Linked DNA regions of Diceros bicornis minor. The protein of the gene in region 1 interacts with the protein of each later gene in a biochemical or structural test. Links are inferred from orthologs where the notes say so. Each region holds a gene or a part of one and is shown on either strand. Other genes may lie near its edges. The genes, in order: SPI1, IRF1, MECP2 and IRF4.

Region 1 (7,009 bases):
ACATTTGGGAGATGCTTCTGGAGTGCTGGCAATGTTTTAGTTCTTGACCTGGATGGTGCTTACATAAATGTTAGCTTTATAATTATTCTTTGAACTGTACATAAATGTTCTGTACACTCTTTTGTGTGAATGAGATCTCTTATGATTTAAAAATATCACAGTCCATCCAAACAGTGGAATACTATACAGTCTGTAAAAAGGCTAAGACAACTCTATACGCACAGGCATGGAATGGATTTAGGGAAAAACTTCCCCAGAGGGAAGTACAATGTGTTTAGTATGCTGCCTTCTGTGTAAAATTAAAAAAAGAATTAATCTGCCTCTATGCTTGTGTCTGCTTAAACTTTTTTCTAGAAAAATACACAAGAATCTGGTAACAGGGGTACTCTGTGGAAGGGGAACTGGGCAGTTTCCCTTTTTGTACCTTCTGGATTTTGTACCTTATGTATATATTACCTATTCAAAAAATAAAATAATTAAAAAAAATTTTTTTTGGCCTCTCATTTCCTGGAGCCCCCAAGATTTTTGGTTTCAAACCAATTTCTTGGCGACAAGCAGGAGAGCCACAGCCCAGGCATGAGGCACGTGGCGACCCCCAGCAGGTCGGGAACCCTCTCTGAGCCCCGTTTCCTCTGCTGAGGAAGAAGGAGGCTGGGCACGTGCTCCTCTAAGGTCCCATCGCCTCCCAGCCACCGGCTGTTCCGTCTCCTCTCTCCCTTGCTTTGTCCTCCTCTCCCGCCGTCCTCGTCCTGGCCTCTCTTTCTTGCCCACTTCTCTCTACTCCCTTCTTTGACTCTTTCTCCTAGTGTTTTTCTCTTTCCCTTCCTCACCAGTCCTTGCTGTTTTCCCCCCCGTCTCTGCCCTTCCTGCTTCTCCACGCTTGGCTTCTCAATCTTTCTTATTTGTTTGTTTGTTTATTTATTTATTTTGTGAGGAAGATCAGCCCTGAGCTAACATCCGTGCCAATCCTCCTCTTCTTGCTGAGGAAGACTGGCCCTGGGCTAACATCCGTGCCGGTCTTCCTCCACTTTATATGGGACGCCGCCACAGCATGGCCTGACAAGCGGTACATGGGTGTGCGCCGAGGATCCGAACCCGGGCCGCCAGCAGCGGAGCACGCGCACTTAACCGCTATGCCATGGGGCCAGCCCCTCAATCTTTCTTCTTGCTTCCTTCCTCCCCACTAGGATCCAGCCCCTCCTACAGCCCCAGAAGGCTCTTCATGCCCCAGCTCTCCACTCACAGCTATGTGACCCTGGGCGAGTCCCTGCCCTCTTGGGGCTCAGTGTAACAACTGGTTGTCTTGGTTATGTGTGATCACAAGGGCAGAAGCACCCAGCACAATGCTGGGCACTCAGAAAATAATTCTCCCTCTTTTAAAGGAGCTGTTAGCCCTGGGGCTGTGGGTTATCGGACTCTTCCTGCTCTGCTCAACATTGCTTAGAACCCGGATCCTACTATCCCGAAGGTCTCGGGAAGAGGCCTCTGGTGCACTTTGGGAGGAGGGATGGTGGGAGGAAGGATGGGGAGGACTCGGTGTGTGAATGGACACGGACGCTGGTACTACACAAAAGCGAGAGTCATTCTGCCCATTTCCAGAGATTTGCAGCCCTGGGTCTTTTTTGAGCTTCCTTACCCAGGCCCCTTGGGCCTGGCCAGACTTGGGACAATGGAATCTCTCTCCTCTCCTGGGGCCTCTTGAGACTTAGGCCTCAGGAACACCTAGTCGACCTGGTCTGCTGCCTGCATCCATGGAGAAGAGCACTACACTCCCTGCTACAACCAGCAAAGGCTCCCTGGTCGCCTCTGGATGCAACCCAGGCTCCTTGGCTTGACACTCAAGGCTCTTTACCTTCCCGGCCTGTCTTGCTTCCAGCCTCAAGGATGGCGGCTCACTGTCCCCTTGTTCTTTTCCACCTCCTTGCCCTTGCCCAAGCTGCTTCCTCAGTCAGACATGCCTTTTCCCTTGCCTGCTTTCCTTCCCGTGGCCCTGACCAAACTAATTGTTCCCCAATGCACCCGGCACCTCCCTCTCTTGTGCCCCTACCTCCCCAGAAAACCATACTGTCTGATTCCATGTCTGTTCTCTCTGCAGGCCTGTGAGCTCCTGGAGGCACGAGGCGTGCCTCATCCATCTTTGTGCCCCCTTACCAGGCCCAGCACATGGAAGACCCTCAATAAAAAGTCAATGATTAAATGACTGAATGAGCAGCTAAATAAGCACATAAACAAACTAAACCAAGACAATAATGCATGCATGCATGAATGAATGAATGCATGAGTACATCAAGCAGGACCTGGTTCTCATGGAGTAGACTCACCCCCACACACATCCAGTCAGCTGGGACTTGGCCTTCTTGATGAGGAAGTGGGGAGCAAGGATGGAGCTGATGTCAAGTCAGCCTGCCTCTCCTCTCCTCTTGGGGAGGAGCCTTGGTCAGGTTCCTAGGCAGTCCTGAGAACTGATGACCTGGACCCCTTGGAGAGTTCCAAGTGCAGATACAAAAAGTCAGTGAAGATAGAAGTGAAGTAGATCTAGTGGTGAGCCCAGATCTGTGAATCCCTGGTCTTTGCTGCCAGTGAAGAAACACTTAAGGACCTGGGATTCCACTGACAGGAAGGAGGCAGGTCTTAGAGGGAAAGGGGTACAAAGCAAAGGGTTAGACTACATAGAGGAGGAAGTTGAATGCTCAAGAAGTTTTTCCCTCACAGAGTGAACTCACCAGAGATCATTGGATCAAAAAATGTCTCCATTCATCCATTTGCCCTCCAGACTAGATTAGGAGCTCTCTGAAGACAGGGATCTTGTCTAATACTTTTCTATTTTCCCAGCATTCAGCATAGAGCTTGGAACTCAATTAATATTGGAAGGATGCATTGATGGATGGATGGGTGGATAGGTGGATGGGCGGGTGGGTGGGTGGGTGGATGGGTGGATGAGTGGATGGGTGGGTAGATGGATGGGTGGATGAATGCATGGACCAATGGATGGTCCAATCTATTCATGGGTGAATAGATTGATAGCTGGATATAGAGTGGATGAACAGATGGAAGTATAGACTGGTGGATTAATAACAGATGGATGGCTAGATGGACAAGTAGATAGACAGATGGGTGGATAGATGAATGGACTAACATATAAATGGATGAATGAATGGATAGTTAGATAAATAGACAGATAAATGAATGTATGGCTGGCTTGATGGGTGGATAGATGGACGGACAAATAGATAAAAAAAAATAGATGGGAAAATAGATGAATGGATGGACAGACAAGAACTCAGGTTTGTAAACAAGGAGATTATATTGATATTCAGGCATTGGCAAGGTGTGGGGAAACTGAGAGATCTGGGCTGGGAATAGAACCCCTAGGGATTTGGAAGAAGCAGTGGTCACTTAGGAAGCTGGGAGAGGAGGGTATAAGAACCTAGGACTCTCCTCTGGTGGAAGGGAAGCCAGGTTGAAGGGGCTCAGAGGAAAGGGGCAAGTGGCACTGTGCTGAGGACCCTGCCCCTGAGCCCAGCCCCAGCTTGAGTGGACTCTAGGCATTGGGTGCCCAAGGCCCAGAAAGAGTCAGGCTTGGCAGTCAGCGGGATCAGAGCCCTCAGCCAGTCAGGCTGACCCCAGAAAGTAGAGGCCCCACGAGGCCACCCATACCAACTCTTACCCCAAGGAAGTGACTGTTGGCCACGTGGGGGTCTCAAGAGAAGTAGGCATGTGTGGGGTTAGGGGTTTGAGAGCCTCATCAGGGCCCTGGGGCAGCAAAGGCCTCCAGGTGGTAGAGCTAGCCTTCCTCCCCTCCACTCTTCCTCTCTAGCCTAGCCCCCGAGGCCGCCCCTCACAGTCCCAGCTTCCTCTGGGCAGGGGGCCTGGCCCCCATGGCCTCCCAGGCCAGCCCCTGGAGCACCACCTGCCCCAGCCGGCCAGAGACTTCCTGTAGCGCAAGAGATTTATGCAAACGGGCTGGGGCGGTGATGTCACCCCAAGGGGACTATCTCCCAGTGGCAGGCCCTTCGATAAAATCAGGAACTTGCGCTCGCCCTGCAATGTCACGGGAGGGGGCTCACCCAGGGCTCCTGTAGCTCAGGGGCAGGCCTGAGCCCTGCGCCCGCCCCGAGTCCCTCCAGCCCCGGACGGGGCGCCCCATGCCGAGGGGCTCCTCACTGGCCCCCACCGAGGCAGGGGACCTGACCGGCTCGGAGCTCGGCTGGATGTTACAGGCGTGCAAAATGGAAGGGTTTCCCCTCGTCCCCCCTGTGAGTACCGGGACTCCTCCACTAGCCCAGCCCGGGGCCCTCGGACGCCCGCCAGCCTGCCCACCAGCCCGCCAGCCCACCGGCTGCCCTCCTGGCTCGCTATCAGTGGGAAGTTGGTGTTTCCTGCCTGGAGCCCCTGGCCTGAGACCCAGCGAGGGGGCCATTGGCTTCCTCGGAGCATGCCCCGGCGGGCGGAGGGCTGGGCCCATGGTGGGGCTGTGATCGGTGGGGCCTGAACGGTTATTTATAGATGGGGCTTGGGTGGCAGGCCGAGCTCCAGGGCAGGGTGCTGGGCGAGGATGGTGAGGGCGGCGGCAGAGAGGTGGCGGGGAGGAGATGGGGAGACTGGTGTTGGGGGAAGCCGGTCCCCAGGACAGTCAAGGCTTGAGGGCGGGAGGCAACAGGCCAGAGTCATGGCCCATGGCCTGGGTGCTCCTGGAGACTGAGGTTGCTTCAAGTCTGGCTCCCCAGCGCCCAGTCTGGGGCCTGGCACAGAGGACATGGTTGTTGACCGAAGGGTCTGGGCCTTGAGCCCGCAGGTCCCCGAGAGGCTGGGGCAGGGGCAGGGCTGGAGCAGAGAGTGGCGCTGAGACTAGGGTGGCAGTTAGGGTTGGGGCGAGGAGGGCAGGGACCAGGCTGGGGACATCCTGGGGCTGAGATTGGGGCTGGGGTAGGACCTGGCCAAGTGTGGGACTGGAGTTAGGGCAGGGGCTGAGGCTGGGACAGGACTGAGGCTGGAGGCGAAGAAGCAGGGCTCTCAGGGGACCCCAGGAAGGGAAGGCCACCAAGCTCCTGCTCTCGGTGACAGTTGCAGCCTTAGGCAGGTGTCAGACCTGGCCCGCTCTGAAAGGACCTCTCTCCTTCTCCCCACCCCATCCCCAGTCAGCAGAGGTGGGGAGCCCTGAGGGGAGCCGGGAAGGGCTTGGCAGGGCCTGGCCACCTGACTCAGCTTTCCCGGCCTAGAGGCAGCTCCCTTCCTCCAGCGGCCTTGGAGCCCCGGGGTAGCACCCCAGGCCTGACGTCCCACTACTGGGCTTGCTGCCCGGAAACCCAGTGCTGGGCTCCTGGCCTCCTCACTCGGCCAGACACAGACAGGACCAGCCAGCCAACCCCTACCTGGCCCTGGCCCACCCTTCCCAGACCTGAGACCAAGAAGGTGGGGGGCAGGCAAGGGGTGATGGAGGTGGTCCCAGGAAGAGCCGGGGGGGCTTGGCCACACTGTCTCTGATCCTTGACCTCTCACACCCTGAACTCCAGGGAGAGTGAGGCAGGAGGCACATCTTCTTGGGCTCCCACACCAAACCCCTCAGCCCCGCTCCACAGGCCCGGGGCTGCTCTGAGTGACTCCTGGGAGGGTGGGCTCCCAAGGCAGCCCTGGCCCCCAACCCAAGCCCTGAGGGCCAGAGTAACTGTTGTGCAATCCTTGAGTACACGCTGCGGGGGTGGGGAGAGGCCTGATGACTGTTGGGAAGGCTCCGGGTGTGCATGTCCCTGTGTCTGTGTCAGTGAGTGAGGAGGAGGAGGGGGAGGAGGAGGAGGGAAGAAGGAGGATGAGGAGGAGGGAATGAGGAGGACCGGGAGGAGTGAGGGGAGGAGTGAGGAAGGGAAGGGAGGAGGAAGGGGTGTGGGGAGGAGGATGAGGGGTGAGGGCTGAGGGTGAAGGGGAGGAGGGCAGGGAGGAAGAGAAGGGGGCACCTCAGTGAGGGTATCCGGAGGAGGATGGAGGAGGGAGGGTAAGAGGATCAGGGCTCCGGCTGTCCCACGGCCCCCAAAGCCTTCCTGGGTGAACGCTGTCAAACCCATCAGTGTGGATTTGGCCACTGGTCATCCTGGTGGCCCTGAACCTGCCTAGGGCCTGGGCACAGGCTGTGAGGAGAGCGGGGGGCTGGGGTGGGGGCTTTGCAGACTTTGGCAGGGAGGACAACCGTGTGCGCTGTGCGGATGAGTGTGCCAGTGGAATATGAGTGACTGTGGAAGGGTACAGGTCTGAAAGTGAGTGTTAATGGGCTTGAAGGCGAGTGTGGACACATGTGTTAGTCCGAGTGACTGCGTGTGCCTACAGGGTGAGTGTATAATGGTGTGTGTGGCCACAAACGTGTGTGAATGTGAGTGACCCTCAGAGTGAGTGTGAGTGGACGTGTGGGTGTGAGTTCACAAGTGGGTGTGTGGGCACAAGTGTGTCATAGGGAGTACGTGTACGTTTGGGGGCTGTAGGCGTATCAGGGTGGGCGTGAGAGGGTGAGTACGTGACTTGGGGACCGGGGCATGCAGTGTGAGTGTGAGTGTGAGGTAGCTGTGGGGAAGGGAAGGGAGGGAGGCCGTACTCTCCCCCTCAGCCCTGGTCCTCTCTTGACCTCTGACCTCCAGGGTCACTGAGGACCCCTTTCTGCGGGAGCCAAGGCTCCTGCTCTCCTGGGTCCCCTGCTCTCCTGGGTCCCCTGCTCCCGCCCTGTGTGGCTTCTCCCAGTTCCAACCAGAGAGACGGCTGCAGGCGGGATGCAGCTGCTCAGTGGCTCAGTCTGGGACGGTGGTGTGGACCCAAGATACTGGGGGCTACGACCCTGGCTGGGGTCTCCCCGCCACAATCTGTGTCCTGACACCCCCCTCTCTCAGCAGCCATCAGAAGACCTGGTTCCCTATGACACGGATCTGTACCAACGCCAAACGCATGAGTATTACCCGTATCTCAGCAGTGATGGAGAAAGCCACAGCGGTGAGTCCACGGCCCCGCCCTGCCCCCACCCCCAGCCTGG
Region 2 (7,413 bases), on another chromosome or scaffold:
GAGCAATTCCTCGGCCCACTCTTACAATGCAGGACCCCCTAGTGCTTTCCCAGCCAGCGGCAGCCTCCCACTCTGCGTTTAGGGCTTTTATAACACCACGACGTTTATTCTGCTGTGTCATACAGCATTTTTGCCAGAGCTGTGAGAGGGGAGGGGCTCGTCTCGTGCCCCAGCATATCCCCAGGGCCAAACCTGGAGTTGACCCAGAGCAGGAGTGCGATTCATATTTGTTGAATGAATTAAGAAACGCCTTTCTTTCTCTCCAACTAGGCTCCTTTCAGGCAGGGTGATTAAGCCTGGATTCTGTCTTCAAGCTTTTGAGTGCTTTCGGATGATTTTATGCCTGACTGGTGCTCTGTACTTCACAGTTTAGGACTGCCTGCCTCCCAGGTTTGCTGTGAAAATAGAGATGATGGCTGGGAGGGACTTGGAGCATCTAAGAGAGCCTTCCCTCTGGACCTGGGAGGCTGGATCGCCTGCTGGGGGTTCATCTGCTTTGGAGACTGTGGCCTCTTCTCTGGGTAGCAAGCCCCTGCAGGGGCCCAAGGATGCCCTACTCTCAAAAACCTAGTTAAAGCCTTGCTGGGTCCTGCACTTCAGGACTAACTGGAGCCCACGTAGCGGGTGCAGTGTGTTCTGAGAGCCTAGGGAGGGGGCTGGGGACAAGATTTGGTCCATCAGGGAAGAGGCTCCCACACGGGTGATCTTGCCCCCAGCATCCTGATTGCAGAAATCACCTCAAAGGAGGCTCTGCCAGCCAGTCAGCCTCCTGCCAGGCACCACAGGGCCCCATACCGAGAAACTGCACAATATATTTACCCTCATTGAGTGACAGTATAGATGGGAGGCATCCTGTGAGTGAGACCTTGCTCCAGAGCTAACCCCCAGCTAACTCCAGCTGCAGGTGTGAGGAACCTGCTCAGGTCTCTTGCAGAAAAATTCAGCCTTTGTTCCCCAGAAGGGGGAACATACAAACTGTGTTCAGAGAATGGAAATGCAGTGAAAGGTTCATGCATACTGTTAATACATGTCATTTGACTAATGTTTTACAGTTTAGAAAGGAGTTTGAGGGGCTGGCCCAGTGGTGTAGCCCTTAAGTGTGTGCACTTCGCTTCGACGGCCTGGGGTTCACCAGTTCGGATCGACGGCCTGGGGTTCACCAGTTCGGATCCCGGGCGCGCACCGATGCACTGCTTGTCAAGCCATGCTGTGGTGGCATCCCATATAAAGAGGAGGAAGATGGGCACAGATGTTAGCCCAGGACCAATCTTCCTCAGCAAAAAAAGAGGAGGATTGGCATTGGATGTTAGCTCAGGGCTAATCTTCGTCACAAAAAAAAAAAGAAAGGAGTTTGATAGTCTGTCTGATTTCATCTTCACAACAATTAGGAGAGATGCGCAGAGAGTATCTCTATTTTACAGATGAGAAAACTGAGGCCCAGAGAGGGAGAGTAACTTGCCTAAGGTCACACAGCAAGTAGCAAAAGTACAAAAACCCAGCTTTCAGACTCAAATCCTGTGTTCTCTTTCCAACGCCCTTTAGTTACTGCCAAGGGTAGCAGAGCCTTGGAAGAGAAGTTTGGAATGGGACCCCTAGGACCAGAGCGAGCAATGATTTGAATGTGGGGCTAAGGAGTCTTGGGGAACTCAGAATGCTCCTGGGTGGACCTGAATAGTAGGGAGATCATCAAAGTTAGGGAGATCATCCTAGTGCAGAGGTGCCAGGAGGGGCAGGCTTGATGGGGAGGGAGGCCCAAGAGGAGGCTGTGGCCACAACAATCTGGTCCTGGAACGTGAAGACATGATTTGATGTGAGGAAGGAAGACCCAGAGGATCAGGTGAGGCCAAGAGGGGAGGAAAATGGGAAAGACTTCACCAGGGAGGGAGCTGGAATTAGGAAGAGAGAAAGCTGCTGGGGACAGTGTGGAAAGGGGTGGAAAGACTTCTGCTTGTGTGTGTGTGAATTTGTGGAGAGGGTTGTAGAGGAGTGTCCAGAAGGCAGCTGGAGCTGCGGTTTGGAAGTCACCTGCCCAGAGGGGATGGCTGGAATTACAGACGATGAGTATTTTGAGGCAGAGAGGGGAAAGGGCCCACCGTGAATTACTAAGAAATACCTAGGGAAGATTCTATGTGTTCTGCTTAGTGTCACAGGGAATGTGTGCTACATCTTAGAATGGGATTCATTAAGAGCAGTTACAATAAAAATTTGAGGTGCTTAAATAGGGTTTAGCTTTATTTCGCTGATTTGGCATATAGCACCCCCAATCATGATAAGTGGATTTTTATAGACTTCAAGATAAAATAAGAATCCCTAAAATTAAAAGTAAAAAAAAAAAAAAAAGTCAAAGAACACTTCAAAGATGTAAATGACAATTTCATTGGTAAATCCTAACATTGGGGAATTTTTCCTAAGCAAAAAATTATTGATGTGCACAAAGATTTAGCTACAGAGTGTTGTATTATGAAAAGATGGAAATAACCTAAATGTCCTACAATAGGGGATTAATTGGGTAAATTTTTACTTATCCTTATGATAGAATAATACGTACCCATTACAAATGATATTGCAGAAGTACCTTTCATGACATGGAAAGATGCTCATTATATATACAGATGCACATATAGATGATTATCTGTGAATTAACGTTTTTGTTTTAAAGCACTTTTTACAGTCTCCTCTTGCCTTCATAGGGTCATTTTGGTTAATTTCTCAGACCACATGAGCTGCAAACTTCCTCTCCCTAATCTCATTCTGAATTTTCCATGGCCGTGTCAGATTCTTAGAGACAGGACAAGCATCCATTTGCTGCACAGAGAACAGACTTCACAATTCTGAAGCCACTTGTTTTCTGCTCTTCTTGCTCAGATGGTCTTGGTCTTTGTAGTGGGTTCCCACTCCTATCTGTCACTTAAAGCACTCCACCCCTTCTCCCCCTTCCAGGGCCTCAGCACCTTCCCTTCTCCTTGACACCCAGCTAGGCTCATTCCTCACAGTTCCTCCTGCCTCTGCCCTCTCCCAGCTCCTGCACCCACCACTGTCTGGAGACAGCTCTGACCCATTCCTGTTGGTCTCCTGAGAACCAAGCTTGGCGTTATTCACAGCATCAGATTCTGGGGCACCAGAATTGGATTAACCCATCCATCTCCTCTGTGGGAGGGAGGCAGTAGAGTGACTGACAGGTGGAATGCTGCATCAATGTGTCTATTTATAGACTGCATCATTGCAACTGGGTGCTGCTGTGGAAGGAGAGCTGGGGTTTGGGGAGTGACACAACCAGCCCTGCCTGGAAGAGTGATTTACTTCTGAGTCAGCACCTTTGAGGAGTTGAAGGAAGGAGCCTGCTGGGCCACAGTTATGCATGGAAATGAACACAGCACAGCCTCTAGAAGTACAAGTGGAGCAAGGTCTAGTAAGCACACAAGTTAAGTAGCTGCCCTTCCCAAGTGGCCTGGGGCCTGGGCTCCCCAACCTTTTGGCTAGACCCATGGCCTTGGCCAGCCATAAGCAATGCCCTCATGCTGCCAAGAACCTCTCTGGGCCAAGCCTTGAGGACCCAGAAACAACACCAAGGCTGCCACTGAGGAGCTCCCAGGCAAAGGACATGTGAGGATGTGGAGGTGGCCTAAGGCAGGAGTGCTAGGAGGGACCAAGGCTACCCCACCCCAGCTCAGCAGTCCTTGATTCTCTGAAACAATTCTCCTCTCTTTCCCTAAGGCCAGACGTGGGGCAGTCCCAGGGATGTAGACGGTAAAGGGGGAGAGGTGTCTCCCTGGTCATTATTGTACTCCCAGCAGGGACCTTGCAAACCATGCAGCATCTGCTGCCCAAAAAGCATGGAGCTTTAGAGACATCATCTCTCTCTGTCACTGTAGACCAGCAAGGTAGGGCTATCACTATTTCGTAGTTGAGGAAACTGAGGTCCAGAGGCTGTGCCAGCAGCAGCCAGCCTGGGATTTCCTCTCGTCCGGCAGCCCCAAGCAGCACGCCAGGCAGAGTAGGCTTTCCTTTACTTTCCCAGGGCAGGCGAGTGATCTGGAGGTGTGTCACCCCTCAAAAAGGGGGCAGTGTGAGGGTCGAAATCCTCCCTTCTTGACACCCCATTAACAGGCCTGAGGAACCAGGTTACTTTTCAGGGGTTCCATCTTGGTGTTCACTCTGAAGAGGGCGGCAGGTGCCCGACTGACCCCCTCACCTGCGCTCTGGAGATTGATGTCCCCACCTCCGGAGAGGAGAGTGAAGAGACAGCCACAGGAGCTAGCAGGCTGGGAGAACGCGGAGTGAGGGAAGTAACCGCGGGGCCGGAGGGTGTTCGGCTTTCCAGGACAGCCTTTCTCCCGGGCTAGCTGCTGTGGGGGTGGAGTGGGAGAGGGCGGGGCGGGCCCGCGGACGCCCCGGGGCGGTGGCGCCGGGCCGGAGGGGGTGGGGAGAAGCAGCCGCCCTGTACTTCCCCTTCGCCGCTAGCTCTACAACAGCCTGATTTCTCCGAAATGATGTGGCGGCGCCGGCCAATCGGCGTCCTCGCGGCTCTTTAGAGGCGGGGCCGAGCATGGGTTGGGGGAATCCCGCTAAGTGTTTAGATTTCTCGCCGGCGCCGCTGCCCCGGCAGAGCGCGCCACTCCTTCGTCGAGGCAGGACGTGCGTCCGAGTCGCGCGGAGCAGAGGCCAGCAGGAGCCGTGCCAAGCCCAGGCCAGCCGTGCCCAGCAGCCCCGCGACCCGGGCATCCTCTGCCTTCGCTCCCACCCGGAATCGCGCTCCCCGCGCCGGCATAGCAGCTCCCGCTGCGCCAGGACCGGATCGCGCGCCGCCACCGGATCGCGCCCGCTGCAGAGGTGAGCCGCCTTCGCCGCGGAGGGACCGGTGGCGTCGAACAAAAGGGCGCTGGGCACCAGAAAGTGGGGGCCGAAAACCCCAGGCAGGAGAGTCGCGGGCGCGCGGCGTTGTCTGGGTCCCCGAGCGGTCTCGGGAGGGCGCTGGAGGAGCGGCGAGCGGCAGCGCGGGGAGGGCGGACCGCGGCGTGGACCGCCCACCCGGCAGAGGTTGCAGGCGTGCGGTCGCTTTCTCAGATCTGTATGCGCGAAGCTGCCGGGGGCCTCTAGGTGGCCCGGAGTGTTCGTTGCGCGCATCCACAAGCCGTGCCGGGAACTCCAGTGTACGTCCGCGCGTGGGCGCTCTGTGTTCCCGAAGGCGGCTTTCGGCGGTCCCAGCTCCGCGCCGAGGCCCCAGGTTTCAGGCTATCTATGCAAGCGGCGGGGGCTGGGGCTTGCTGCCCTGGGTGGCTGGAGGACCTGCTGGAGCTGCGGGAGGAGGCGCCACAGGTGTTTCTTGGGCCACTTCGCCGAGGAGGGGAGCCAGGCAGGAAGGGTTTGCGTCCCGGCCTCTGTACTGTGGCTGTCAGGGAGGCGTAGAATAGATGGGGGTCGGGGGAGGATGCCCAGGGTGCAGGGTGACTGCTTGCCCTTCGGGAAAGGTGCACAGCCAGTGGCAACAACTCAAGTAGGGACATTTCTTGGCATCAAGCAAAAGAATCCCCTCCCTTCCCAAAGGATTTGAATTTGGGGAGAAAAGTTCTGGTATTAAGATTCCTGTGTATTTTGCCTCTTTTTCCTGCACATAAATCCTGAAACTATCACTTGCAAGCCTGTCTCCTCCCAAGGCTCTCTAGGAGGGGGTGAGGGAAGGGGCAGAAGTTGGAGGGCAGATTTATTTCAGTGAAAGCCCCTTTCCTCACGATTGTAGTACCTGGGACCTGGCTGAAGGTGGGGAAGGTAACTGAATGACCTGGGGTGGGGCAGGGTAGTGCCTATGGCTGCTCAATAGATTCCAAACAGGAGCCTTCTGTCTTCTCTTTACAGCCAACATGCCCATCACTCGGATGCGCATGAGACCCTGGCTAGAGATGCAGATTAATTCCAACCAAATCCCCGGGCTGATCTGGATTAATAAAGTGAGTGTAACTCTTTGGGTTTGTCTGCCGCTATTTTAACCCATGTTCTTTGGGGGACCAAAGCTTCAGATGCAGTTCGAAAAGGGAAGTAATAGGGAGCAGGCAGCTGTGTTTCCCAGTGACTCCTGCATGCAGGGGGTGTGGGAGGCCCAGCCCTGGGCCCCACTTGCCCAACTTCTGCCTTTCTCCCTCCTCAGGGTATGGACAGGGCACCCACCTGAGGGCACTGACAGTTCCCAGCAGCAGGGCTCTGCCAGCATCTGCAGAGCTGGAGTTCTGGTCTCTTCTGAGGGAGACTCCTACAAACACACATAGCATCCTACAGGGCTCCAGTCAGACTGATGGGAGACAGAGAAGTGGGCACTGCTGGCAGGAAGGTGGCTGGCTCAGCAGGGGACCCAAGAATTAACCTTGCACCATTGCCCAGGCCCAAGAAGCCTCTTGCTGGTGCACAAAGGGCAACACAGACCCTGCAGACTTAATAGTAATAATAGTATTCATAATAATAGCTAATGCTTACTGTATACTCACTAGGAGTGTGGCACCATGCTAAGTATGTTACTTACATTGTGTCATTTAATCCTCAAAATAGCCCTGTGAGGTAGATCCTATTAATATCTCCATTTTCAGATAAGGAAACTGAGGCACTGAGAAGTAGAAAATAAGATCACATAAAAAGTGATAAAGCCAAGATTTGAACCTGATCAGTCTGACTCAAAAATCCATACTGTTAATCACCAGTAACAACAGTGAGACCTTAGTCTTTATATTTGTCACTGTGTTTTGTCATTCCATAGAAGACAAGACAGGGACAAAGAGGAACAGTGACAGTGCCAGGATCACACAGGTAGTCAGCATCCAAGTCTGGCCCAGGGCTCCCTCAGGTGTAGGGCCAGGACCCCCTGTGTAGGAGCCAGTGGTCCCAGGTGTCCTAAGCAGCCCCATCTAATTGATGGAGTTCTCACTTCCATGTTGATGCTGACAAGCCAGAGAGAAGCATCCCAGGGAGCTCTGTATGGGTTCCAGCACATCTGTAACAGACAGAGTGAGGTCTTTGCTGAGCTGATGGTACCACAGCTCATCAGAACCCAGAGCCCCTTCTGAGAGATCCAGAGTGATAGAGTAGCTGGTTTAAGCCAATCTCAGGATGGGTCAACCCAAGCCAGATGTCAGGGTGAAAAGGGGAAGTCAGCCTTTTCCCACACCTGGGGGGCTGGGCAGACTCAGGCCAAAAACCTGTGGTCTCTGAGCTGACACAGCCTTGTGTGTGTGTGTGTGTGTGTGTGTGTGTGCTGTTCAGGAGGAGATGATCTTCCAGATCCCATGGAAGCACGCGGCCAAGCATGGCTGGGACATCAACAAGGACGCCTGTCTGTTCCGGAGCTGGGCCATTCACACAGGTGTGTGCCTTGGACTTCAGCCCAGGAGGGGCCAGGGAAGAGATGAGAGGAGGCACTTCTGTTAATAG
Region 3 (6,917 bases), on another chromosome or scaffold:
AAGCAGGTGTCCTGCCACACTCCCTGGAACTTGTTGCCAGTCTAGGACTATGTTTTTACCCCATGTGCTTAAAACACTAGTTACTACAAATGTCAAACATTTTCTACAATTCTCTCCTCATAGATAACTCAGGCAGCCTGGCGACAAACTGCTCCTAGCTAATTAAAAGATTTCCACTGATATTCACCTTTCTAAAAGATTATGGGTTCCAAGACACATCATTTATCATGCAAACAGTCCCAGGCATTAGTGGTGGAAACTATTTCACCTCTGCTCTTCTTTATTTTGGGTTCAAGAAGTGAGCTTCTCATTCCATTTCCACATAGGGGAAGGAGTATTCCAGTGGGGGCAACATCATATTGGACTCATCTAGCCAGTTTTTCTGTCAAACTCCACAGCTTGCCTCCTCACCCCACTAGATTCGGCCACTCACAGGCAGGGCAGGCGGGGAAACAATGACTCTGGCTGGAAATTGCAAATAGAATGCAAAATTGTATTCTAACCCTCCCAATACACAAACAGCACAAAAGTCAGAGAAAGGTTTGACTGCGTCATGCTTTATCAGGTGAAACAAAGACCTGGTACTCTAGGTTTAAAGCATTCCAGGCAAATTTGTAACAACAAGAAAAAGACAGGGTGACAGGCCAGTACCAGCAAGAAAGTGTAGAAGGTTTCTTCGAGCTATTAGGACACACACTCTACATGCCACCAGGCACCTTGCAGAGAACTATATTCTGGAAGCTGTGCTGTTTAAAGGGCTAAGGGTACGACCAACAGCTAAATGGAGGGGCACCCGAGGAGGCAAACGCATTGCCAATGAAGCATAACAAAGCAGAGCCCTCGTCCTGTCATGTCTCAGGTTGAGAGGTACAAACCTTGGAACCTTCGTCAAGCGAGGCTTGTGTGTCTTGTGTGTGGACAAGAATGAACCTCACCGATCTGCCACCTAGCTGACATGCCACGATAGGGTGATCTGTGGCGACTTATTTAATCAACTGTATGTCTACCAGATTGATTGTGCCCTTTAAGGTTCTGACATGTCCGGATAAGAAAATAAAAGTGTTTCATAGGCTTCCTGACTGAGATTTGAAGTAGAAGTCCTAAAAAGCCCATAAATAAGCCTATTTCCCTATATCTCTGATAGAGATTTCCAAAAGACCTAAAAAATCCAGACCCTGGTTTTTTGTTTTTTGGGCTTTTTTTGGTAAGGATCCAGCATACTTCAAAAGACCCAAGAGGTCAGCTTAATCTCGTTGTTAACTGAAATCACTGAGATCCAGATAAAAATTCCAGCCATGAAACCCAAATTTATCCTCTAGAGTAATAATTGCCTATTAACAGTGAGTTTTACTACCAAGGCCCAAATATGCTTCATATTTCTAGTATAACAAAATACCTAAAACTTGTGAGAGACCTACAAATTCTAAGCCACTTAGCATCACACGCTGGTAGGTTTGGTTCCACGATCACAACCACCCCCTGAATTCCATCCTACCATCTATTTGGGGTACTGATCCTGCACAGGAGAGGCACAACATGTGAATGGTTCTGCAGAGCCCATTCCTGTTCCTGGAAAAATAACCAGAAGCACACATCTGCCTGACCATGAGTCAGGAATATCAATTTTGTGGTGGAGCCCATTTCTGCTGTAACCAATCCACACCAAGCGACCGCCACAGAGGTATTCCAGAGCAAGCTTTTCCCCCCTCGGGTCCACACTTAGCAATGTCATAAACGGTCGGTCGGTCTCCTCTGTGAGAGCAATCTTTTTAGACTCTTCACAATGACCTTAAGTCTTCAGTGCAAAACCACACAAACACTGGCACGCCACATAAAAGTCACCTGAGTTTCAGTTTGGGTGATTCAGTCATAACCAAACTAAAAAGAAAACAAACTTTCAGGGACAATTGACAGGAACCACAGCGATGCGATGAACTTGCCTCATCTGGTACTGGTGATCTTGAGCAGGGCGCGCTCCAGGTCTATGGGAGCCCGTTACATACTATGTCCCACTCCACTTATGTAACTGGAAGATCGCTGGTGAAGGGGGGGAGGATGGGAAGGCGCTCATATTCTGAGGCCACAGCACCCCCAAAGACCCTGGGGGCATGCTCCCACCGAAGAGCCTCAGGTGCTGCCGGACACACATTGCCCTACCCACGGCTCCTAAAGGGAACTATAACCGCCTCTTTATGACGAGTTGTGGGACCAGGAACACACTGTCTAGTCCCTTTTGTGGGTGGACGATAATTGCCACCTACTTGTTCTTGCTAGATGGGAAAAGAGATGGTGGACCGACTCGCTCGCAGTGGGGGCAGAAAGTCATGGAATAGGCGAGAAGGAGGGGGAGGCAAAGCCTGGAGATGGGGGTGAGAGCACAGGAGCCCTTGTGGCGCACTCTCCCGAAGGGAGGCGGACTGCGCACGCGCGCCGGTGGGGGGGCCGAGTAACGGGAGAGGGGGCGCGCGAGGGAGGGAGAGGGGAGAGCGCGATCCAGGGAGAGGCCGGGGCCGCGGGCGCGCGACGGCGCCGCGGGCCCGAAGCCCCGCGAAGGGCACGACGCGCGCGCAGCCCCGACAGGCGAAGCCCGGGCAACAGGGGCGCCTGCCGGGCAAGGGGCCGGGATGCGCGCCGAAGGCGGGCGGAAGGAAGGGGGCCGCCAGGCGACGGCGGCCTTGGGAGGCCGCGCCGACGACGGTCACCCGCAAGTGCGGGTGACGGGCCGAGGGGGGAGCCGTCACCGGCGGCGGCGGGAGGGGGAGGGTAGAGAGGAGGGACGCCATCCGCAAGCCTTGTCGCCCGACCCCGCGGGCCCCTCCCGCGCCACGTCCCGCCCCTACCCCCCGCCCCCCGGCAAGGGTCCCCACCCGCGGCCGCGGCGGTCCCACTCACAGTCTCTCCTCCTCGCCTCCTCCTCCTCCTCCGCTCGGCGCGGCAGCGGCGGCGGCGGCCATTTTCCGGACGGCTTTTACCACAGCCCTCTCTCCGAGAGGAGGGAGCGCGCGCGCCGCCGATGCCGGGATCCCGCACGGCCGACGTCGCGCCCCGCCCTCCCAGCCGGCCTGCGCGCTGCTGCACCTGCGTGCCCGCGTCCCGCCCCCGGCGCCGCCGCGAGCCCGCTCGCCATTGGGTGCGGCGGCTGGGGCAGGGCGGGGTCTCGGCGGTGACGCCGCCAATTGGCGGGAGTTGGTGTCCATTCCGGCCAGGGAAAAGGGGGCGGACTCCCTGTCCAGCTGCCGATTGGCTGTCGTCAGCCGTCATTTGGGGGAAAAGAGGTGGCTTGGGCGCGGAGGGGCTGGTTTAGTGGGCGGAATTTGAATATTAAGGATTAATGGGCCCTTGCGGATGCTGGGGCGAGTAAAGGCCTAGGCTTCGGACGCCTGATTGCGCGGCCCTCCCGGGCCATTGACCCGCGCTGTCCACAAACGCCCAAAATACGCGGCAGTAAGCGGTTCACTGCACCTGCATTTTCTCAATGTCATCATCTTCAGTAGAAGCAGCAAAGTTGCCTGCCCCGGAGCCTGACGTTGTTCCAGCCGAGGGACCTTGGTTTAAGAGGCTTACCCATTGCATTCTTTCATCTGAGCCTGCCTTGTGCCACACTCTCATAGGGACAGGGAATAAACTGACAACAAATCACAGCCCTGGCCTTCGTGAACCTCTGGTGGGGGAAGACGGTGCATGCCAAGGCTGCACGAGTCCTGTCGTTGGTGGATCAGATGGTTTGGTGGAGGCGTGGAAAAGGGGCAGTGGGAGCACAGAGGAATCGCACTTAGCTCTGCCTCGAGGGAAAAGGGAAGACTTCCTAGAAGAGATGATTTGGGAGCTAAGATCCAGCAGTTCCGTTTTGGAAAAATATTTAAGAGTATGAGAAAAGTTTTAGCCAACGGGGTGATCAGGACAGGACTATTTGTCAAAGCCACCTGACTCTGATCCAGCCATCATCCAATTCATCTAATGCTCCTTGTGCTGCTTCTGTGCTTAACAAGGAACCTTCTGATTCTGATTTGGCTCCCCCAACCCATTCATTTATTAAATACCTCCTATGTGCCAGGCACTATTCCAGGCTCTGGATACTCAGTACTGAACAAGACAGTGAACTAAGATTCTTGTGGGGAAGATTCATACTAAACATACAAATAAGCATATAATATAATGTCATATAGTAATAAGGGCTTTGAGATAGATAAAGCTAGGGTGAAGGGGTTGCTATTTAGATATCCATAGACTTTTGCCCTCGTTTTATTTCCCCATATGGATCTCTGGGGAGAGAACATCCCTGGCAAGTTCAAAGGCCCTGAGGAGATACTATGCCTGGCATGTTGGGGACTAACAAGGGCTAGAGAGTGATAGGGTTTGCAGTTGGAGAGGCATCTGGAGCCACCATGGGAACTGGGAGCTTATTCTGAGATGAGATGCCCTTGGAGGATTTTAAAGTGGGAGCTGACATCATCAGATCTATATTGTAGGTGCAGTGTGGAGAGCTATCCATGGTGGGAGAAAACTAGGAGCAAGAGCCCAGTCAGGAGGCCCTGGCGACAGTCTTGGAGAGGTGATAGTGGCTTTAACTAGGGTGGTAGCAGTGGAGGTTCTGAGAAGTTGTGAGATTCAAGCAATGTTTTCAAAATCGATGCAGCTGGCCTGGTGGTGTAGTGGTTAAGTTTGCACGCTCTGCTTTGGTGGCCCGGGGTTTGCACGTTCGGATCCCAGGAGCAGACCTGTGCACCGCTTGTCAGGCCATGCTGTGGCAAGCGTCCCACATAAAATAGAGGAGGATGGGTATGGATGTTAGCTCAGGGCCAACCTCCCTCAGCAAAAAGAGGAGGATTGGCAACAGATGTTAGCTCAGGGCTAATCTTCCTCACCAAAAAAAAAAAAAAACACAAGCAGAGAGGATTGGATGTAGGGTATAGAGAAAGAGAAGAAACAAGGATGATTCCTGAGTTTTTGGCCTGAGAAACTGAGTGAAAGGGTGCCTTTCACCATGATGGGGGAAACTGTAGGAAAAGCACATTTTTGGAGGTAGAGATCAAGAATTCTGTTTTGGCTATGTTAAGCCTGGGGTGCCCATTAAATGTGCAAGTGGAGATGTTGAGTAGGCAATTGGGTCAACAAGCAGTCAACAGGCTGAACATCCAACTCAAGAAGCTATAAAAGGAACAACAGTGTAAACCTGAAGAAACTAGAAGGAAGAAAAATTAAAATGAGCATAAATTGATGAAACAGAAACAAATGATAGAGAGGACTGAGAACATCAAGAGCTGATTCTTTGAAAAGCTGAAAAGCCAACCCACTACCAAGCTAGATATAAGGAGATAAGAGACAAGCAAATTGCACTAGAAATGAAAAGGAGATGTAACCACAGATACAATAGATTATACACTAGATAATAGATAAAACAGATAAATTTTTAAAAGGTTATTATGAAGAACTGTATGTCAGTATATTGGAAAACATAAGCAAAATGAATAAATGTGCTTCCCAGACAAGCACAGCTTACCAAAACTGATTCTAGAAACAGAAAACCTGGACAGGCTCTCTATAACCACAAAGAAATTGACTATATATTTTAAAATCTACCCTCCCCCTCCCAAAAAAGTTCAGAGAGCTTTACAGATGAGTTCTGCCAAATCTTTAATGAGTGGGTAATTCCAGTGATAAACAGAAAAGAAAGAAATCTCTCCAAACTTATTTTATGAGACTAATGTAACTACTATAAGGAGCCAATGAAAGTATGACAGAAGACATAGAAATAGATGTAAAAATTCTAGACAAATAAACTGAATCCAGCAGTATGTAATGATATATCATAACCATGTTGAGTTTTCTCCTAAGAATGCAAAGATGGTTTAAAATTAGAAAATCAGGGGCCAGCCACCTGGCCTAGTGGTTAAGTTTGGCACGCTCTGCTTCAGCAGCCTGAGTTCAGTTCCCAGGGCAGACCTACACCATTCGTTGGTGGCCATGCTGTGGTAGCGACGCACATACAAAACAGAGGAAGATTGACACAGATGTTAGCTCAGGGGGAATCTTCCTCACCAAAAAAATAAAATAAAAAATTAGAAAATCAACCTTAACAGATTTAGGGAGAACAAATATATGATTATTTCATTAGATGCAGGAAAAGCATTTGATAAAATTCAACACCTACTTATAATCAACAACAACAACATCTTCGGGAACTATGAATAGAAGGGGCCTTCCTTAGTCCGATCAAAGGTAATATCTGTAAAACCCTTAGAGCAAACATCATACTTAATGGTGTTAAGTAGGAACAAAGCAAGAAACAGCACAAGAGCTAAGGTGCAACATCATCCGTGGGACATAACACCCAAGTGTCCTCTCCTCCCATTCTCTTTGACACCTCATCCTTGGAGTTTCACCATGAGGAGAGAGACCCATTAATCTCAAGTCTATTCCCTGGTTGTTAGGACACAGGCATATAGACCCAGCCAGTAATAAAAAGCTGGAAAAAGTAATGGGAAAAAATAAAGATTCAACTCAGTCTAGCTATAGAAATTCTAAAACAGCTGGGAATAAACTTAATAAGAAATGCCGAAATCCCTACATTAAAAAACAATAAAAATTTACTGGAAATCATAAAAGAAGACCTGAAAAAAAAATAGAAACTACCATGTTCCTGGAAAGGAAGAGTAGACATCATAAAGATGTCATCTCCTCATAAATTAATCTGGAAATTCTTTGCACTAGTCAAAATCCAGGAGTTTTTATAGACTGCAACAAGTTACTTTTGATCAGGAAGAGTAAGTGTACAAGACTAGAAGTCAAGACATTTTCAAAAGAGAAAACCAATGAAGAGAGTCTTGCTAAATTCCTTAGCTTGAATAAACGAGAGTTATTTTTTTTTGAGGAAGATCAGCCCTGAGCTAACATCTGCCAATCTTCCTCTTTTTTTT
Region 4 (6,865 bases), on another chromosome or scaffold:
AGAATCTAGGAATTGCATTTCTAAAGGAAAGAATGGTGCTTAGGTGCTTCAGATTTACACTGTTGCTCAAAATGTGAGACAAAGAGACCCCAGGTGTCCTCCAGGTAAAATACTTTCCACCCTGGACCCTATCATCGCTGAGCTGAAGGCAAGTGGTTTGAACATTCCCTCGGTATTTGTAAAAGACAGGTGAGATGTGGAGGACCGCTGGAAAGGCTACCCACCCAGTGTCTGAAGCAAGTTTGATTGGAACTAGGGACAGAGCTGTGGCTGAGCTGCTACTTGTAGAGCACATGTGGACAGTCAGACCATCTGAGGTCTCGTGAGGGCAAAGTCCCTGAGGAAGTCCCCGTCCCTGCTCTGCCCACAGGTGGTGGGGCTGGGCCCTGATGCACAGTTCAGTGGGTGCACTGCTCTAGGGAGAACCGTCATGAGAGGGACACACACACCGAGGGCAGGAGAGAAAGGTCCAGAGAGAGGACAGCGAGTAAGAAGAGAAAGAGAGAGAAATCCAAAGGGGGTGGGGAGGAGAGAGGGGAAGAGAGAGAGTGACAGAAAGAAAGAGAGAAACACACAGTAAGATGGAAAGACCCAGAAGGAAAGAGAGAGAGAGAGAGAAACTCAGAGAAAATTTTCCAGAAAGACTTGGAAAGAGGGAGTCAGACAGAGGGAGACAGAAAGAGGAGAAGCAGATGGAAGGACTCAGCTAGAAGGAGAGAGCACGTGCCAGAGATAGAGACAACCAAAGGAAAAATATCCAGAGAGAGAGAACAGGAGAGAAAAAACAGAAACAAATACAGACTAATGAGAGAGACAGAAAAACAGACACAGACTCGAGCACACTCCGGGTGCTCCCAGAAAGAGACAGACACACACACTGATCAAAGAGGCAAGGAGGGATCCAGAGGGACAGAAAAAGGCTCCGATGAGAACAGTAATGCACTATAACACCCAAGCCAGCGTCCTTGGACGCCGCTACCCGGGGTTAGCCTCCAGGCATTTCCCTGCCGCTGGAGCCGCCCGACTCCCTGGGTACTGCTCACATCACACACTCAGGATTGGGACCCGGTCCCCCCATTTGTGAAATCACTAGAGTAGTTGACACCTCTCTCCTTCTCCCGTGGCTTGGGCCGATCGCCACCTGATGCTCGCGGGCCCCTCGCCCTAAGGGGCACACACCGTCCCGCGCACCCCGTGTGGTCCCCTTCCCTCTGAGAACCGCCGGGCGCGCCGGCGCGGGCCGGCCTCGCCGCGGGGTGGGGGTTAGGGACCGTCCGGGCTCTCCGGGGCCCTCTCCCATCCCGACCGTGGGCTCCCCGCGGGCTTGTAACCTTGAAGAGGGCGGCGTCCTCCTCACGGTTGTAGTCCTGTTTGCCCGCGTGCTTCCAGGGGATGCGGAAGATGCTCTTCTCCTCGTTCTCCCACACCAGCCCTGGGTACTTGCCGCTGTCGATCTGGTCGATCAGCCACTGGCGGAGTTTCCCGTTGCCGCAGCTCACGGAGCTCATGCCGAACTCTCCGCCTCGGCCGCCGCCGCCCTCCAGGTTCATGCCCAGCGCGCCGACTGTCGCCCTCACGCGCTCAGGATCCGCCTCCGGCACTCGCTCTGAGCTGCAGGGGAGAGGAGGGCCGCCTTTCAGCCACTGCGGCACAGCGCTCGGGGCACCCTGTCCCAACCCCCTCTGGTAATGACCACGAGGTGCCGGAGTCTCCGAGGCAGCGAGGCGCGCGCGCTAAGAAGTCGGTGTTGCCAAAGGCCCTTAGGAGAAAGCACCTTCTCACTTGGCCCGGGCTCGTGCCCTTGGCGCGCACAGTCCTGACGCCTCCCGAGCGCGCCCTCCGTGGAGTCCATCCTTCTACCCCACCTTCTGAACTTTCCATTCTTGTTACGCACCCCACAGCCCAAGTGCTGCCCGGACACACAACTCTCGCCTTTGCGCACGCTCCCAAATCCAGCCGCCACCACTCTTGGCACTCCGTTTGCACGCTCACTCGTAGTTCCCGCTCCTCTTAGCCCAGTCCCAAGCCGACGCCAGTCCATTTCCCCCTTCACTGTCAGTTTCCACTCTCGCCCACTCCCCAATTCACACTCCCCTGATGGCCCCCGTGCGCCAAGGATCTCGCACGCGGGTTCGCCTGCGGTCGGGGCGTTCCAGGTGCGCGGCACTCAGCAACTCCTCCTCCGGCCTTCTAGAACCTCCCGCACCCGCACTCTTTGTTCCAAGAATATCCCTGAGCCCTCGCCAGATAGCAAGGATTAAGTGGGCCTTGGAAGCAACAAGCGATAGACACCTGGTCTTTGGTGAGGAGCGCTGCCAAGTAGCGGGAGATTCCGGGACGCCGAGCGTCAGCCGGACCCAGAGGCCCGCGAGGAAGAGCGGAGGCAGGGAGGGTGCCGGGGAGAGCGAGGGACCGCAGGGCGCAGCGCCCCGAGGAGCCCATATTTGGAGCTCCTTCTCCTCCTCCACCACTACTCGGGGGGCAACGCGCCGGAGGCCGCGGTGAGTTTGGGCCCCTTAAGAACGAGGAGCAAGAGAAGGAGCCTCGGATTGGAGCCTCGGGAGTAAGGGACTGTCCCCCGCGGGAAAGCCCGCCACCCCGTGTGGGTCCCTTCGACTGCCCCGCTTCGGCCACTCCTGGGGCTCTGACAGTCTCGTTATCCCGTCCCGCGCGTGGCCTCCCCCGGCCCGGGCTGGGCCGACTGCAGAGTGGTGGGGCCGCGGGAGCAGGGAGAGACGGCGGGAGTGCTCGGGCAGCGACCTGGGCGACCCTCCACCGAGCCCGCACAAAGGCCCCGGACCCAGAGCAGATAGGGGGAGTCGGGGATCCCTCAAGGGGCGTGCTCCCTCCCGGCTCCGAAGCTGGGGTCCCCTGCGCTGCCCTGGAGATGGACCCCGGGACCTCTGGTCTCGCGCCCCCGGTTCTCTGTCGTGCCACCCTCACATCTATGCTGCTGCCCGACCCCAGACCTTACCTCGCCCCGACTCGGAGCTGAGGGCAGCGGTGGGTCCTAAGTTCAAGCGGTGAAACTAAGATTCAGAGGTGGGAAAGAGGAACTTTATAGAGCTTAAAAGCCGCGCTGGGGGCGGAGCCTGCGGCGGGCGGGGCCGGTTGCGCCCGCGGGGCTGGGGGGCGGTGCGCCGCGAGAGGAGAACGAGGGCTCGGCGGGCGACTCCCAGGGCCCGGGCCAGAGGAACGGGGTCCGGGGGGGTTGCCGCCGCAGGCTGGGGGCTCCGGCGCCCTCGGCGACCCGCCTCGCGCCGCGCAGAGCGAACGCACCTCGAGTGGGGCTCGCGCGGCCTCGGGGACCCTCACTCTGGGCGGTTTCCTGCGAAGGACAAGGCGCGAAATGGGGACCTCGCCTCCGCGCCAGGACCTGCGGGAGGCCCGTCGACAACTAGTAACAGCTAAAGACAGCGACACGGTTAGGGCGGGAAGTGGGGGGCGTGTAGGAGCGGGAATCCGGTGCGAAGGGGACTTCGCTTGTGGAGCACGTAACCAAAGACGGAGGAATTGTCCACATCGAGGAACTGTGGGTGGGTGGGTCACACCCAGCGAGGGGTGACCCTCGCTGTCACCGAGAACCCTGCTCCTCCACGGTCTTTAGAGAACATCGTGCTCATTAAAAAGAAAAAAGGAAATGGCCCAGATCCCTTGAGCCATAAACTGTGGTTCAAATACTGTCCACATGTTCGAAATGCTTACACGCTCTTGCATCTATTAAACTGGTGAATTGAGGTGACTCAGATAGACAATGCATGACCCCCAAAGTTTCAATTATGGCAACATGAAAGAGTTGGGGGAGGGATCCCGAAGTATCCCAGCGCTTAATTGCTTCTGCACTTCAGTTCACTTTAACTGACATGGTTTTAACCTCAACCTGGTAGGAAGCAATCTGGGGTATAAATGTCCGCAACAGGAGTAACATCCAAACGGACCTGCAATTTTACTTAATTTTCTAGGATGCCCTTATTATCCAAACTAGCTCCCTGACCACTGCGCTTTCGCCGGAGCGTCTTGGATGCTCCGAGCATGTTTACGTACTTAGCGATTGCAGGTAAACCGTCAGATCAGCGGTTTCTATATGATTTTAGACCATCGCCACCGCAGGTCAACTTGCAACTTTTGAAAAGCTTTTGATTTCACTTATTTCTCAGTTTTTCTTTTAATCTTATATATTGGGTCAATGTCTCCTACCCAAAGAAAAAAATAGGGTTAGGCTGGAGCAAAACAGGCCGTGAGTGAGGCACAGACTAGAAATGCTTTTCCTACAACTAACGGACTTTCTCAGAAATTCACAGGATGCCATATTTTTATTCACCCAAGTAAGTTTTCCATTATCAGAGTCTGTGTAATAAACAACAGGGTTTTGTTCAAAGAAAATTCTGGTTACACCCTGTTTTTCTTCTCCTTTCACAGATTCATTCATTCCACAAACATTTTTTGCGCACCTGCTGCTTGTCTGGAATGGTTGTAGGCACTGGGATACTCAGTGAAGGAAGCAGAGATCATGCCTCCATGTTGCATTACATTTTAATCAGTGAATTACTTTTCCCCAAGGTGTTCACAAACAACAGACAGAAGGAGATTGCTAAAAACAAAAATGGCAAATGAGAGCTTTTAGCACTTTCGCACACGTGTTCTCTGCACCAGCTTTAGTTAGTTTCAACATTTTCCTCAGTCATCTCCTTTTAGAAGTTCAAAACAACACCGGCTGTATGAAACTTTCTGAGACTTTACAACATCTACCTTGTTTTAAAATGTGATTGCTAATCTTCAACGCCATCTTCTGGTTTATTCATTGTCATATTGATCTACTGGAAGTGATTTTTTTTTTTTATGATGAGGTGAATACAAAGAATAATATATTTTAATCACTAAAACTCTTGATGTCCTCATCACTCCTGGGGAAGGGGAGGGAGTGAGCAGGTAGGGGCTGCCAGTTGCTCACCAAAGACATCTTAGTCACAGTCGAAAGAAAAAGGACAAAAGTTTTTAAAGTTGACCTTCCCCCCACACACTTGAGAAATCAAAGTGTTCCTCAGTAAAAGATAGATAGTTATCTTCAAATGTCACAACTTGTTAAAAAGTGCAAACAAATAGGAAATCAGTAAATTGAATATCTACCTAAGACAAAGGCTGATCATGATATTCTGCAAGGAGGTTATTTCAGTGAATGGTCCAGATGTGGAAATGCCATTGTAGGTGGAGCCCAATCTGAACAGAGTGCTGCAATTTCCAATTCACATTTATTGTAAAGAGACTATAAGAAAAGCTGAATTTACCTAAATTCAATATTTTAAAAATCAGTCTTTTAAAATTTTACATTCACATGTAAGAAAATATTTTAGAAAAACCCATACTAGGCACAAAAAATAAATTACTGAAACCCTGTTTTGGATAAAAGTATTTTCTCACTAATTCATTCTTTGAAAGGGGAGAGTACTACAATTTGTTAAAAACAATGCAACTATATCCGTGAAAAAGGTTAAAGGGCAATCATTTTTAACTACCTGTAAAAAATCAGGAAAATACTAAAAATGTTATGATGTAGTTCATATGGGATAACTATCTCCTCTAATGCTCTTTGGCTATATGTGTGTGCAATGCTAATTATTATCATTGACCATGGTATCTTGTATGGCAGTACTATTATACTATTATTGTATTATTATATTATTTTATAAATAGTAATATATCTACGTAATAGAGTAATATACAATATACTATACTAGAGTAATATAGTAATATACTATAGTATGTACTATACTATACAATGTACTATAGTACTATATAATATTAGTACTATATATATTATATTATATATATTATATATATAATAAGTACTATAGTACATTGTATGGTATAGTACTAGTACAGTGATATATACTACATATTAGTAGTATCTTATAGTATTGTATTTAGTAGTATTATTGGATGGTATTATTGGTAATTAAATGCTCAAATACGACAGTCAGCTAGACCTGGTTGAAATCCGTGAGGTCTTGGGTGAACTATTTAACCAAAGTCTTACCTTCCCAGGTACAATGAAGGCAATGGCTTTCTTGCCTCCTCGTATGCTGTGATAACGAAATGATGCTTAGCACAATGCCTCACATGTTCCAAGTGTTCAACACATCGGGACTATTATCATTTATGTTTTGCTTCAACATTTAGGAAGACTATATCTCATTTGATCTCCCAACCCCATCTGCCTGGAGGCAGGGCAGGTGATATTCAGCCCCATTGTACAGATAAGGAAAGAGATTCAGAGATTCACTGAGGTCCGGATGGCTTGCCAAGGACACCTTCTGACGAACTGTTCTTTTTCCTTTCTACGGGTATTTGGCTGCCTGCTGCACTGATATTTCAGGATCAGCCTGCGAGTGCAGGCCTGTGGGTCTGGAGGTGGCGTCCTGACTCCAGTCTGGCACTCAGTGGGTAAGTCAGTGTGGGTAAGGTGCAGTCTTCTGACCTCGTTCTCCTGTCTGTGAAGTGGAGGTTGGCAGTAGGCAACCACTGAACCTTCTTCCAACCCTAAATCATTGTTTTCTTCTTTCTGCTCTAACTTAAACTATTATTGGCAGCCAGTGGCCTTGTTGGTTATGGTAAATTCAGAGTAAGAAAAGCGGCATTTTTTTAAAGCCACTGACCTAACCACTGATCTTCTCTTTGCTCTTCTTCTCAAAGCAATATTCACTTTGAGGAAATTGGAGGAAACAGTGCTGATTCTCAGCCAGTTTAATCCTCTGAAAAAATCTAACCTTCTATGCTACTAATACAGGGGAGGTTTTGGGATGGAATACTCTGGAAATGAGTATCGTTTATTATGAGTAAATGCTCTCACTGCACACCCAGTTTGAAG

The links.
Region 2: the proteins of SPI1 (region 1) and IRF1 form a complex in vitro, tested with the Homo sapiens proteins (2 studies listed by BioGRID). The link is inferred for Diceros bicornis minor from reciprocal best matches to the Homo sapiens genes SPI1 and IRF1.
Region 3: the proteins of SPI1 (region 1) and MECP2 form a complex in vitro, tested with the Homo sapiens proteins (2 studies listed by BioGRID). The link is inferred for Diceros bicornis minor from reciprocal best matches to the Homo sapiens genes SPI1 and MECP2.
Region 4: the proteins of SPI1 (region 1) and IRF4 are reported together in a solved structure, tested with the Homo sapiens proteins (2 studies listed by BioGRID, with this or other methods). The link is inferred for Diceros bicornis minor from reciprocal best matches to the Homo sapiens genes SPI1 and IRF4.

What each region holds. Positions count from the first base shown.
Region 1 is NC_080770.1:23,047,902-23,054,910, forward strand, and holds the start of SPI1 (transcription factor PU.1), read left to right. Parts: upstream 1-4,008; 5' UTR 4,009-4,145; coding exon 4,146-4,256; intron 4,257-6,869; coding exon 6,870-6,969; intron 6,970-7,009. UniProt on the Homo sapiens protein: Pioneer transcription factor, which controls hematopoietic cell fate by decompacting stem cell heterochromatin and allowing other transcription factors to enter otherwise inaccessible genomic sites.
Region 2 is NC_080740.1:51,801,812-51,809,224, reverse strand, and holds the start of IRF1 (interferon regulatory factor 1), read left to right. Parts: upstream 1-4,400; 5' UTR 4,401-4,830; intron 4,831-5,047; exon of another isoform or gene 5,048-5,150; intron 5,151-5,209; exon of another isoform or gene 5,210-5,224; intron 5,225-5,236; exon of another isoform or gene 5,237-5,316; intron 5,317-5,853; 5' UTR 5,854-5,858; coding exon 5,859-5,945; intron 5,946-7,245; coding exon 7,246-7,345; intron 7,346-7,413. UniProt on the Homo sapiens protein: Transcriptional regulator which displays a remarkable functional diversity in the regulation of cellular responses.
Region 3 is NC_080781.1:138,164,819-138,171,735, forward strand, and holds the start of MECP2 (methyl-CpG-binding protein 2), read right to left. Parts: upstream 3,020-6,917; 5' UTR 2,955-3,019; coding exon 2,893-2,954; intron 1-2,892. UniProt on the Homo sapiens protein: Chromosomal protein that binds to methylated DNA. It can bind specifically to a single methyl-CpG pair. It is not influenced by sequences flanking the methyl-CpGs.
Region 4 is NC_080753.1:65,928,848-65,935,712, forward strand, and holds the start of IRF4 (interferon regulatory factor 4), read right to left. Parts: upstream 3,016-6,865; 5' UTR 2,975-3,015; intron 1,612-2,974; 5' UTR 1,551-1,611; coding exon 1,332-1,550; intron 1-1,331. UniProt on the Homo sapiens protein: Transcriptional activator. Binds to the interferon-stimulated response element (ISRE) of the MHC class I promoter. Binds the immunoglobulin lambda light chain enhancer, together with PU.1.